Saccharomyces cerevisiae S288C: one gene and its partners. The gene in region 2 interacts genetically with the main gene of each other region. Each region holds a gene or a part of one and is shown on either strand. Other genes may lie near its edges.

Evidence for each region. Genes that interact genetically often act in the same process or in processes that back each other up.
Region 1: mutations in ROF1 (region 2) and YSA1 together harm fitness more than expected from each alone (negative genetic interaction), as found in Saccharomyces cerevisiae (one large-scale study listed by BioGRID).
Region 3: mutations in ROF1 (region 2) and BSC1 together harm fitness less than expected from each alone (positive genetic interaction), as found in Saccharomyces cerevisiae (one large-scale study listed by BioGRID).

What each region holds. Positions count from the first base shown.
Region 1 is NC_001134.8:460,678-463,802, forward strand, and holds YSA1 (ADP-ribose diphosphatase), read right to left. Parts: upstream 1,197-3,125; coding exon 501-1,196; downstream 1-500. Other genes in the region: SUS1 (Sus1p), read left to right, coding at 1,462-1,532, 1,613-1,752, 1,823-1,902; transcription regulator CYC8, read right to left, coding at 2,193-3,125.
Region 2 is NC_001140.6:454,538-458,684, reverse strand, and holds ROF1 (Rof1p), read right to left. Parts: upstream 2,095-4,147; coding exon 733-2,094; downstream 1-732. Other genes in the region: FMO1 (N,N-dimethylaniline monooxygenase), read right to left, coding at 3,158-4,147.
Region 3 is NC_001136.10:384,101-387,311, forward strand, and holds BSC1 (Bsc1p), read right to left. Parts: upstream 1,488-3,211; coding exon 501-1,487; downstream 1-500.

The DNA.
Region 1 (3,125 bases), on a different chromosome or scaffold from region 2:
GTTGATAAATATATCCTCAAGGACTACTTCTTTTATATTTCTTGTAGGTGATGTTGTGCCCTCATCGTTAATTTGAATCCCAGCAATTATCAGACAGTTCTGCCGCCCTTCGGCAATGTCCAAGCTGTAGCCAAATACTTAAATCAAGGAACACTAACCATGTATGACATACAAGGAGCACTACCACTGATTTCAACAGATATTAATGGTAGTTTTTTGCAGAATCGTAAGGTAGATCAGTGGAAATAGTAGAAAAGGGCTAGTTTAGATTCAAAATTTGGTAACACGTAACGTCGCGCTTTGGAAAATATACCTCAATGCTGACTACTTAAGATGGCAAATAGCCTTGTCAAATTTCCTACGGAATGTTATTTTCATTACGTCCTTCTTTTTCAATGTACTTATTCATAAATGGGACACTATCTTGTTGCAAAAGGTACTTTGTATTTTGGTATTAACATCTCGCCTATTTTTCATACAGAAACACTACTTATCGCTATCTATTTGATGTGGTATTGCTTGGCCATGAGGATACCTTGAGCTACGTTTTGAACACGTGCATCCAACTTGTAGCCTTGTTGATCCAACTTAACCATTTCATCAGGAAACTTGTGCAACTCAACGCTAAAGCATTCGATAAATTCATTATCTTCCAATTGAGTAACTGGTTTTTGGTTTTCAGGTAAACTCATATCAACTTCGACAGTAACCAGACAGAGGTTGGTGTTTGTGAAACCAGGATCGTTAAAAACTGTTGGGCTTTTAGAAATTATTTTACCACTGTAACCAGTCTCTTCTTTTAATTCTCTTAAGGCAGCAGTGTCAATATCTTCACCCGCATCTATCAAACCGGCTGGCATCTCAATGCATACGCCCTCAACGGGAGGGCGAAACTGCTTTTGTAGCAAAATTTCATCAGGTTTTCCATCTTTGTATTTTAGAATGGTTAAGATACCAATGCCGTCTACACCACCGGAACTTCTAGTGGTGCGGACTGCGCTATCCCATTCCCTTTCCTTCCCGTTGGGATCTTTGTAGATGATTTTTTGTAAACCGATCCACTTGCAGTCAGATGTTTCTTTAACGTGACGGGCTTCAATTATTTTAGCATCTTCTGGTTTACCCTTGACGGTGCTCATAGTTCTAAATAGTCTCCTTGAATTGAGGGAAATAACTCTTACGTTTCTCAAAAACATCTAAGTATGAGAAGGAAGGAAAATGCCGAAAGAATAATCATAAAAGCATATATACGTGATTCATATGAAGGCTGTCTGACGTTGTATTAAACCGCTAACGGCCGTACTTGCCATCCCTTACGGAAGTGTATTCGCTTGCCGGACCTCTTCCTCCATGAAGACCAAAATGAGGAATTATGAAAAATAAAAAATGAAAATTGCCATAGGCATGGCTTGACCAACACATGCGACAAAATCAGAAGTAACAATTCTGGCCTTCACTCCAATGACTATGGATACTGCGCAATTAAAGAGTCAAATACAACAATATCTTGTAGAATCAGGAAACTATGAACTGTATGATAAAATATTATAGGGGTTGTCTTTTTTAAAAAATCTACTTTACTGACTATTCAGATCACCGTCACATTTATTAGAATTTCAAACGAACTAAAAGCCAGACTACTTCAAGAAGGTTGGGTGGATAAAGTCAAAGATTTGACCAAATCAGAGATGAACATAAATGAATCTACGAACTTTACCCAAATTTTATCCACCGTAGAACCCAAAGCATTAGGTATGTGAATATTTTATCACTAAATTTATTGAAAAGAGAACGTTACTAACAGTGGAATTTTTTTTTCTAGAAATGGTATCGGATTCAACAAGGGAAACCGTTTTAAAGCAAATAAGGGAATTTCTTGAAGAGATTGTAGATACACAATGAAGGATACGAAAATGCACCTTAATTCCCAATATTATTACATATGCTCATCGGGAAAACCTTTTAAGCAATAATAGATTTTAAGTATGTAATGATACAAATAATAATATATTTATATACGCATATATTTACATGTGCATATATGAAAAATAACCTAATTCACGTTACCCACCTTTTTTTTTAGCCTTTTCTTTATTTATATATGTATCCACAACATAATGAATGAATTGTGAGCTACACAACATTTCTCGTTGATTATAAATTAGTAGATTAATTTTTTGAATGCAAACTTTTTAGTCGTCGTAGTTTTCATCTTCTTCCACTTGCCTTACTACATTTTCTCTTGGAAGTGTGTTCTCCTGTGGGGATTTTTCTTGAGATGTTTGCTCTTCCTCACGCATTTTGGCCTCCTCTTTCACTGTTTCCATTGTTTCCAAAGTAGGTTTGATTACAGTTATCGTTGTAGCAGCGGTTTCATCTTGTTGTTTTTCAGCATCTCTGGAAGCTGCTGGCTCCGCCTCTTCAGTAGAAGGTGCAGATGCTTCAGTTGTGCCGTTTTCCTCTTTAGAATGCTGTCTTACTTCGTCTTCTACAGGGCTTGCTTCTGCAGGAACAGTAGCAGTAGAAAGTTCTATGGTCTCAGCAGTGCTTTGGTCATTTGCTTTTGTTGTTGAACTTTCTGATGATACAGTTGGTTGGACACTAGATGACTCTGGTTCCGTATTAAGCGGTTTTGTAGAAGGAGAAACAGAAGCTGCTTTGGTAGCTTCTTCAGCAGGACTAGCTTCCTGTGGAGGTTCCTGTGCGCCAATTACTGAAGGTATTGAGTTTGCTTTTACAGGTTTTTCTTCTTGTGAAGTATTATTGGTATTAGACTCCACTACTGCTGGCGATTGGTTGCTCACCTCAGATTTTGCATTTTCTTCAATGGAAGTAGCAGTATTTACTAATTTGTTGATGTTTGAATTTGGAGAGTTCAACTTTTGCTTCTTTACCTGTGGTTCAGCGTTCGTTATTCCTGTTGCGGGAGCTTGCGTTGGAATGGCATGGGTTGGTTGACGAGGAGACTTTGTGTTATTCTCTGTGTGGGTGCTACTGGATACGGCGGCATCTACTAAAGTGTGGATTGCACCTTCCATGTATCTCTTTTGAGGTAAAACGTTCTGTTCCACGTTATGCTGGATTAAAGGTTGGGGAGCTTGGGCTTGAGGCTGGCCTTGAAGTTG
Region 2 (4,147 bases):
CCGTTTATATATGCGTAGCGAGTAGATATAGAATCTGTTAACATAACTTCATGCCTTCTTGTCTTAGAACATTCCTATACGCGAGAACCGCGCCGCGAAGAAGAAGCCACAGAAACATAAACGTATCCTCAAGAAGTCTTCGAGCTTTAAGTCGTTTCTCTTAGTCTCGCTTTCACAGTGTTACTGCTATCATTTCTTCACTCCTGGAGGCAAACGGATATTCTATAGAAGAAATTGGATGAGGACAAAATGTGTTGTTGCAACTTTAACTACGTGAGAAAGGTGAAAGTAAGGTATTAGAAGAGAGGACACAAGAGTTATAATATCAGTAACTTTCGAAGTGGGTATCTCACATGGTTTTGATTGGGGTTCTCGATTGTTTTGCCCCCCTGGTTTATTCATTTTTCATAACAATGCCAAGAACCGTTTTTAGGTTTGATTTCTCAGTTCCCTTGCGTTTCTTTCTCTGGAAATTTCATGATAGAATTACAAATTTGGATATGCTTGTTAGTATATGATACAATGATGGAGGTGAAAATCAGATGGTCCTATAAATAGTTTTTCGAAATCCATCGATGGTAGGGAACAACAAGAACAAGCACCCTCCTGTTTTTTTAAAACCCTTTCTGAAAAACACACAATTGGCTGCCCTTTCTATGTAGTGAAGAATCCTTTTGGAATATGAGCGGTACTTTAGGTGAACCTTTCAGCAATTGAAAGGATGCTGATCTTCTACTTTGAGTATTGGTGGGATTTAGGATTGCTTGATGTGTTGTTTTTACTAAATGTTGGTGGATGTTGCATGCTGTCTGGCGCATGAATCATTTGGTATTGTGTTTGAGCCGGGGGATTCATACGAGGAGCTGGCAAAATATAAATGCCATCTAGGTTCTTGTTGGTTGTGGAGGTGGTTATGTTTACATTTGGAGGATTAATAGAATCTGTGACTGGTTTTGGTTGTCGGTAATCATGCACAAGTATATGGTGTACTGGGGGCATCATTGTTGGGGCGATAGGCGCCTTAGAGTGATTGCATTCAGGACCCGACCTCGAAGAGTATGGATCGATATTTTGGTATGGTATTGGGCTCAATGTATTGGAGGAGTATATCACTGAAGGCGACACGCCACGCCGTTCATAAGGTGCTGCAGTAGGTTGTTGCGGGAGAGTATTGTATGTATTGCAGAAAATCATAGGTTGTGAGACCGTACGTCTCAATCCAGGCTGATAGTTAGGATTGTAAACACCAATTGGTTGTGGCTGGTGCTGCATATACGGGAGAGGTAATTTATTCTGTTCATCTATGGGTAAGAGATATTGTTGCTGTTGTCGGTGCTGCTGTTGGTGCATTTCTCGAGGAGCGTTATTGAAGGTGGTTAAAGGTAACTGAACTGCGGTCCTAACTGGAATATTTCCAGGATGGTTGTTATAATTGCTCAAGAGATCACAATAGCTCGGAGAAGATGATAAAGACCTGCGCGTTTTATAATTATGAGCTTTGGTTCTGCCTCTCTCATTATTTTTAGACGGGTTAGATCTGCCATTTCCTACAGCAACTTTTTGTAAAGCATCTAATAGTTTCTGTGAAGGTCGAAATTTATGGAAGAAAGGATTTTCTGAAGGTCTCCTCAAACTTCCTTGATGAATATCCTTTTCCGTATAGTACGCAATAAGATGAAATGTTTCCAGCTTAGTGCTGTCGGTGGGATCCATATTGAATTTTAGAGAAAATGTTTTTTTCAGTAGTCCAGTATAAAAATACTTCCTATGAGCCCTCTCGAAGATATTATACTCAGGTACATTATGCAGCGGTAGATCGTGCGTGGAACCCAGCCTATTATACTCTCTATATACGAGAAATTTGCCTGAAATTCTTGAAGGAGACCAAGAAAAACCATCTGTCCATCTTTTGATGCCGGATTTCTCTTCGTTGAAAACAAAAATGTTTCCGGGGTTGACTAATTCAACCTTTTCTGCATCATATGGCCTCCGTTCGATGCATCTCAAATTTCCATTGAATACGCCCTGGAAAACAAGGGCTAGATCTTGCTCGTCGTCGATGTACCCATAACAGGTAGGGCTGATATCCATCATTCTTACGCTTACTCGTCGATCTCCTTTTCCTATCTATTGTTTGATTAATTATCTTAATTCGTGGTTCCCTTTTTTCTCGCTTTATTTGTTTGTTTTGTTGAAGAAGGGCTTACAAGAATGTACGTATTAAATAATAATTCATACAAATAAACAGGGAATGATACATAGTAGTTCTCCCGCAGCAGCTACGTATGAATTACCCGCCTACCCGGTACTATAAAGAAAGAATAAGTGGGCGTCGATTATGAAGATTTACTAACTGCAATTATCATTTTTTTGATTTTCCTCAGTCCCTTAGGTGCGTTTTTGTGTTAATGCCTATTTTTTTTTTCTAGGCTTTCTTCTTCACTTCCTCTTTCCTCTTGAATTTTGAGGAATATACGACCGAGAAAAAGACAGACTACTTAAAAAGTTGCCAGAGTGATTAAAGTTCCGGGAACAAGGCTAAAATACGTTTACAACATATTCTTCCTTTTTTTTCCACATAAAAAGGTTAATAGTCATAGTCATATGTTAGCGTGATTTCAACTTAAAATTAGAGATTATTAGATAATTTTTTTTTAAATGACGGCCAAGAAAGTGAAAGTCTAAAAGGAACGTTTATCGCTTAATTTCTCTCTGCCTCAGATTCATACGTTGTTAAGATCTTTAAAAGGATGGCCTTTGCAGGATACTGAGGTTTATGCTGGCGCGCCTGTGCGGATTTTCCAGATTCAAAAAGAAAGTTTTCTTTTTTTTTTACATGGGAACTGCGTAGCCGCGAAGCACTGCAGGCCTTTCAGAGCAATTTTTGGCGCTGCCTTTTAAAAACTTACATTAAGGTTCGCTATTGCCGAAACGGAAGAGGCGGAAATTTAAGTATTCGTTAATTTTACGGTGGCGGTACGGTATATTCTGCGTAAGCAATCTGCGGACGGCCGGATTATTAATCAATGTTTGAAAAAAAAAGATAGCAGAAGTGAAGATTTCTTATTTTAACAGCGATAAGGTATATACATGAGGGAAACGAAATATTAAGCGGCACAATATGTGTTTTTTCTATACAAGTACATTCCTTTTTACGTTAAGTATGTGGCGCCGGAAGGAAGTATGGTGCTTTTTTTTTCTTTAGGGCTTGTGCGTGTTCCGCTAGAAGCACATTTCTTTCTTCTTTGTCTGTATAACTACTGTTTCTTAGATCGATCAGTCTATCATCCCATACAACTGGTTCGAAATGACCGACCCTACGTGGAATGCTATTCAGTAGTTCCTGTAGTTCTGCATAGTATTCCAGGTCCTTTCCCTTTGGGAAGTTGTGCGTTCCGCAGGCATTAGAGTCGAAAGTTGTAGTTATCGGTAAGCTTTTACAGAATACTTCGACCATAATAGCCGCCTGTAGTTCCGACAACGGGAACGGGATGACCAACTGCGGGGTCAAGATAAAGGACAGCGTAGGATCTTTTACATAGATCATGTGCTCCCACAAATTGTGCAGATTGACAGACGAGTGCTTGTCGCCAGTAACACCCTCACCTAGCACTTCCAGTCTAACGGAGGGCTCTATAAATGGAAAGCTGTAATAATAGCCTGTGGCGAAAATAATGTAGTCTATATTCTGAAGTACTCTTCCATCAGATAAAGTAACTGAACGATTTTTCCAATCGGCACTGTCTATTGTTTGGACAGTCTCGATTAACTTGGCCTTCAGTTGATTGCTCGCAGGCTCTTTTATACTATTATATACTTTCTTTGCAACGGTAGTTAGTTGGTTGGCAATATCTTGGCCGGAACTGCCGTTTCCCACCACAATAACGACTTTTTCACGGGCAAACTCGCAGTTTTTGAAATCCTTAGAATGAAAGGCGCCCTTATTGTCGAACCATAGATCGAGACCTGCGATATTAGTTGGTAGTTTAGGGACACTGTAGTGACCAGACGCAACAATAACGAAGTCAAAATCCGATTTAGTAGTCCTTAGTTCGTCTTTAGATGTTATCTCCCATTGAGAGTTCTTCTTCTTTAAGTAGGTAACTTCGGTGCTGAAATGGATGCTGATAGCATCTTTGTTGGCAAT
Region 3 (3,211 bases), on a different chromosome or scaffold from region 2:
GCGTGTGGATCATCCGATGTAGTATACTCAATTGAAGATGTAGAGTCTGTGGAAGTAGAAATGGTAACAGAGCTACTTGGATCAGCTGGGCTAGTTTGAACGGCCGAAGTAGTTGAATCAGCTGGAGTAGTTGGGTTAATTGAAGTAGTCACAGCATTTGAACTAGTTGGGTCTGCTGAACTTGAACTGATAACAGAGCTACTTAGATCAGCTGAACTTGAACTGACTACGGAAGTAGTTGGATCAGCTGAAGTAGTTTGAACGGTCGAGGTAGTTGGGTCAGCTGAAGTAGTTGGGTCAACTGAAGTAGTTGGATCAACTGAAGTAGAACTGACTATAGAACTAGTTGGGTCAACTGAAGTAGTTGGATCAACAGAAGTAGTTTGAACGGTCGAGGTAGTTGGATCAGCTGAAGTATTTGGGTCAACTGAAGTAGTTGGGTCAACTGAAGTAGTCACAGCGCTTGAACTAGTTGGGTCTTCTGAACTTGAACTTACTACTTAAGTGGTTGGATCAACAGAAGTAGTTTGAATGGTTGAACTGGTTACATCGCTTGAACTACTAGAGTCACTTGAAGTGAAACTGCTGAAAGGACTAGTTGAAGCTGCTAATGTGGTGACATCAGTAGATGTTCTTGAACGATAAATATCGGCTACGCTTGATGAAGTATGTGAGTCAACGGAAGTAGTAAAATCAATGGATGTAGTGGAAGAGCTTTTCACAGTAGATGACGTAGTAGTGGAAGTTTTCGTAGAGGATGAAGTAGTAGAGGATGAAGTAGTAGAGGATGAAGTAGTAGAGGATGAAGTAGTAGAGGATGAAGTAGTAGAGGATGAAGTAGTAGAGGATGAAGTAGTAGAGGATGAAGTAGTAGAGGATGAAGTAGTAGAGGATGAAGTAGTAGAGGATGAAGTAGTAGAGGATGAAGTAGTAGTGGATGAAGTAGTAGTGGATGAAGTAGTAGTGGATGAAGTAGTAATGGATGAAGTAGTAATGGATGAAGACGAGGCTTTTGTACAAGTGCCATCATTGTTTCCCTTGCACTGGTAGGTCCAATAAAATCCAGGGAAATCCGTTTGTGAGTGGCCTTGATTGTCATAATTGTTACAACCTGTCGATAAATCGAAGGTGGTTGTCCCCCATTGCCAAGTTTGCCAGTACTGAGCAGCATCACCTTGTAGATATTCGAACTGGATTTGGAAATTTGGCATCCAAACTGTGCAACCGTCAGAAGAAGGGTAAGCATAAACCTGAAAAGTGGATGTAAAATCTGTTGGATCACTGATTAGGTATGTCTTCTCATTTTTGCCGTAAAGTTGTACGGTGCTTGAGGGACCGTTGACACCAATAATCTTTAAAGACCATAAATATTTCAAAGGGATATCTTTTACGGCTTTGACATGAATAGTAATCTGGTATGTGTTATCCTTGACCCATGATACGGAAGTAACATCCATATCATAATGTAGTATATTCTGTTGGCTCATGTGCCAGTTGAAATCCAAATTTGGACAACCATTGATAGCAACGCTTTCGTCTCTTTTGCTTAGATCAAATGAAGGGCTCACCTTGTCATCAATTCTATCAGCAGTCGCTGAATTTGTGAGCAAGGCCGCAAATAGGAGGCAAAATGATATTAGTAGTTTTCTTATGAATGATGTGGATACCTATTTTACACTTTTGCAACAAGGGGAGGAAAATTGCCAAGACCATCATGACATTGGAGGAAGTGATTTGCTTCTCTTAAATATAAAATAATTAAACGATCATGGAGATGCAGCGAACTAATGTGAAAAATTTTTCTTTCCAGTAGTATCGGTTATTCTGTAAGCATAGAATCGGGTATTAGTGGCTTGTTCCGAGCTTTTTTTCTTTGCCAATAAGAAAACAAGTAAAATGCAACGTGCAAATGCTGATCTGATCTCGCCTGGGCCAGTTTTATCGTCATGTGCGCGTGTAGGCACGAAAAAAAAGAAAAGACCGCTACCTCTCCTTCTAAAATGACAGGAGGAGAATATAAGGTTTGGCAGCCCCTTGAAAGAGCCGCAGGAACCAAAAAAAAAAGAAGGAAAGTTTATTTTTTTCTTTTTCCAAAAGACTTTTTAAGATGTTTGTCAGCAAGATAATACAGGACCTACACGACTATCAGTCACAGCCAGAGAAACGTTTGTCGTATGATGGCAAAATATTTTTCCCACAACTTTGAAATTATTTTCAAATATGGCAGAACAGTTTAACATTTGGTTTCAAGAGGTAGCACAAGTTCTTGAATAGTATTTGTTCGCGTTAAGATGGAAGCAGGCCAAATGCCCCAATAATCTAATAACCGTATTTTCTATGCTAAAGGAGGAACGAACACTCGGTCTTGTACAGGCAGCTCTAAAAGGAAAATTTCCATCCCCCCAGGCCAAGAAAATCAGAATCATATGGCCCCCTTCCATTCTAACGGAATAGTATATCAAAGAAATAATGTTTACGTAAGCCATAGACAAGCGATATAATCTTTTTTATCCTTAAACTAGGTGCTTCATTAAGAAAGAAGAAGAAAAGAAGAAAGTACGACAAAGACTCCCCGCTGGACAATAAACGGGGGCGGCAGGTGTTAATTCCGAATTGAAATTTAAATTTGACATAAGCAAAGTTTAAAGTTTTTTTTTTCCAGTTCTTTTTTCCCATCGTTTTTTTTTCTAGAAGCCGGGTTTTTCACCGTCAAAAAATTTCCTAAAAAAGATCTGTCAATCATTAAGTTTTGCTTTTTCGGCTTTTAAGCCATGCTTTCAGGCAAAAATTAAGATTTCTTCGTAAAGATCGGAGCCTTACGCCCAAGAAGCAACTGGCCGTAAAATTTTTTCTTCGATCGGGTGGCAAATGGAACAGAAGATCATGAGTAGAAGGAAAAGTAAACAAAGAATTGCGTCGGTCAACCGGTTGTTGCTGCGTGCTTCAGCGGGTGATAAATAAAAGATTTCCTATCTGAGTAATCGATGACACAAGCGGTCTGCGCTCGGTCGCTTCCAAGCCTTAACAAAGTTTTTACTTTATGGTTTTTAATAAATAAATAAAAAGAAACGTGGATTTGGATAGCAGAAAGCCTCGAAGATCATTTTATCAATGAAATTTTATGGTTAACACTTTCAAGACTCCGATTTTCTCTGCTACGTGAAATTTTAGGTTGCGAAAAGAATACTACCGGGAATACTAGGAGTGTGGA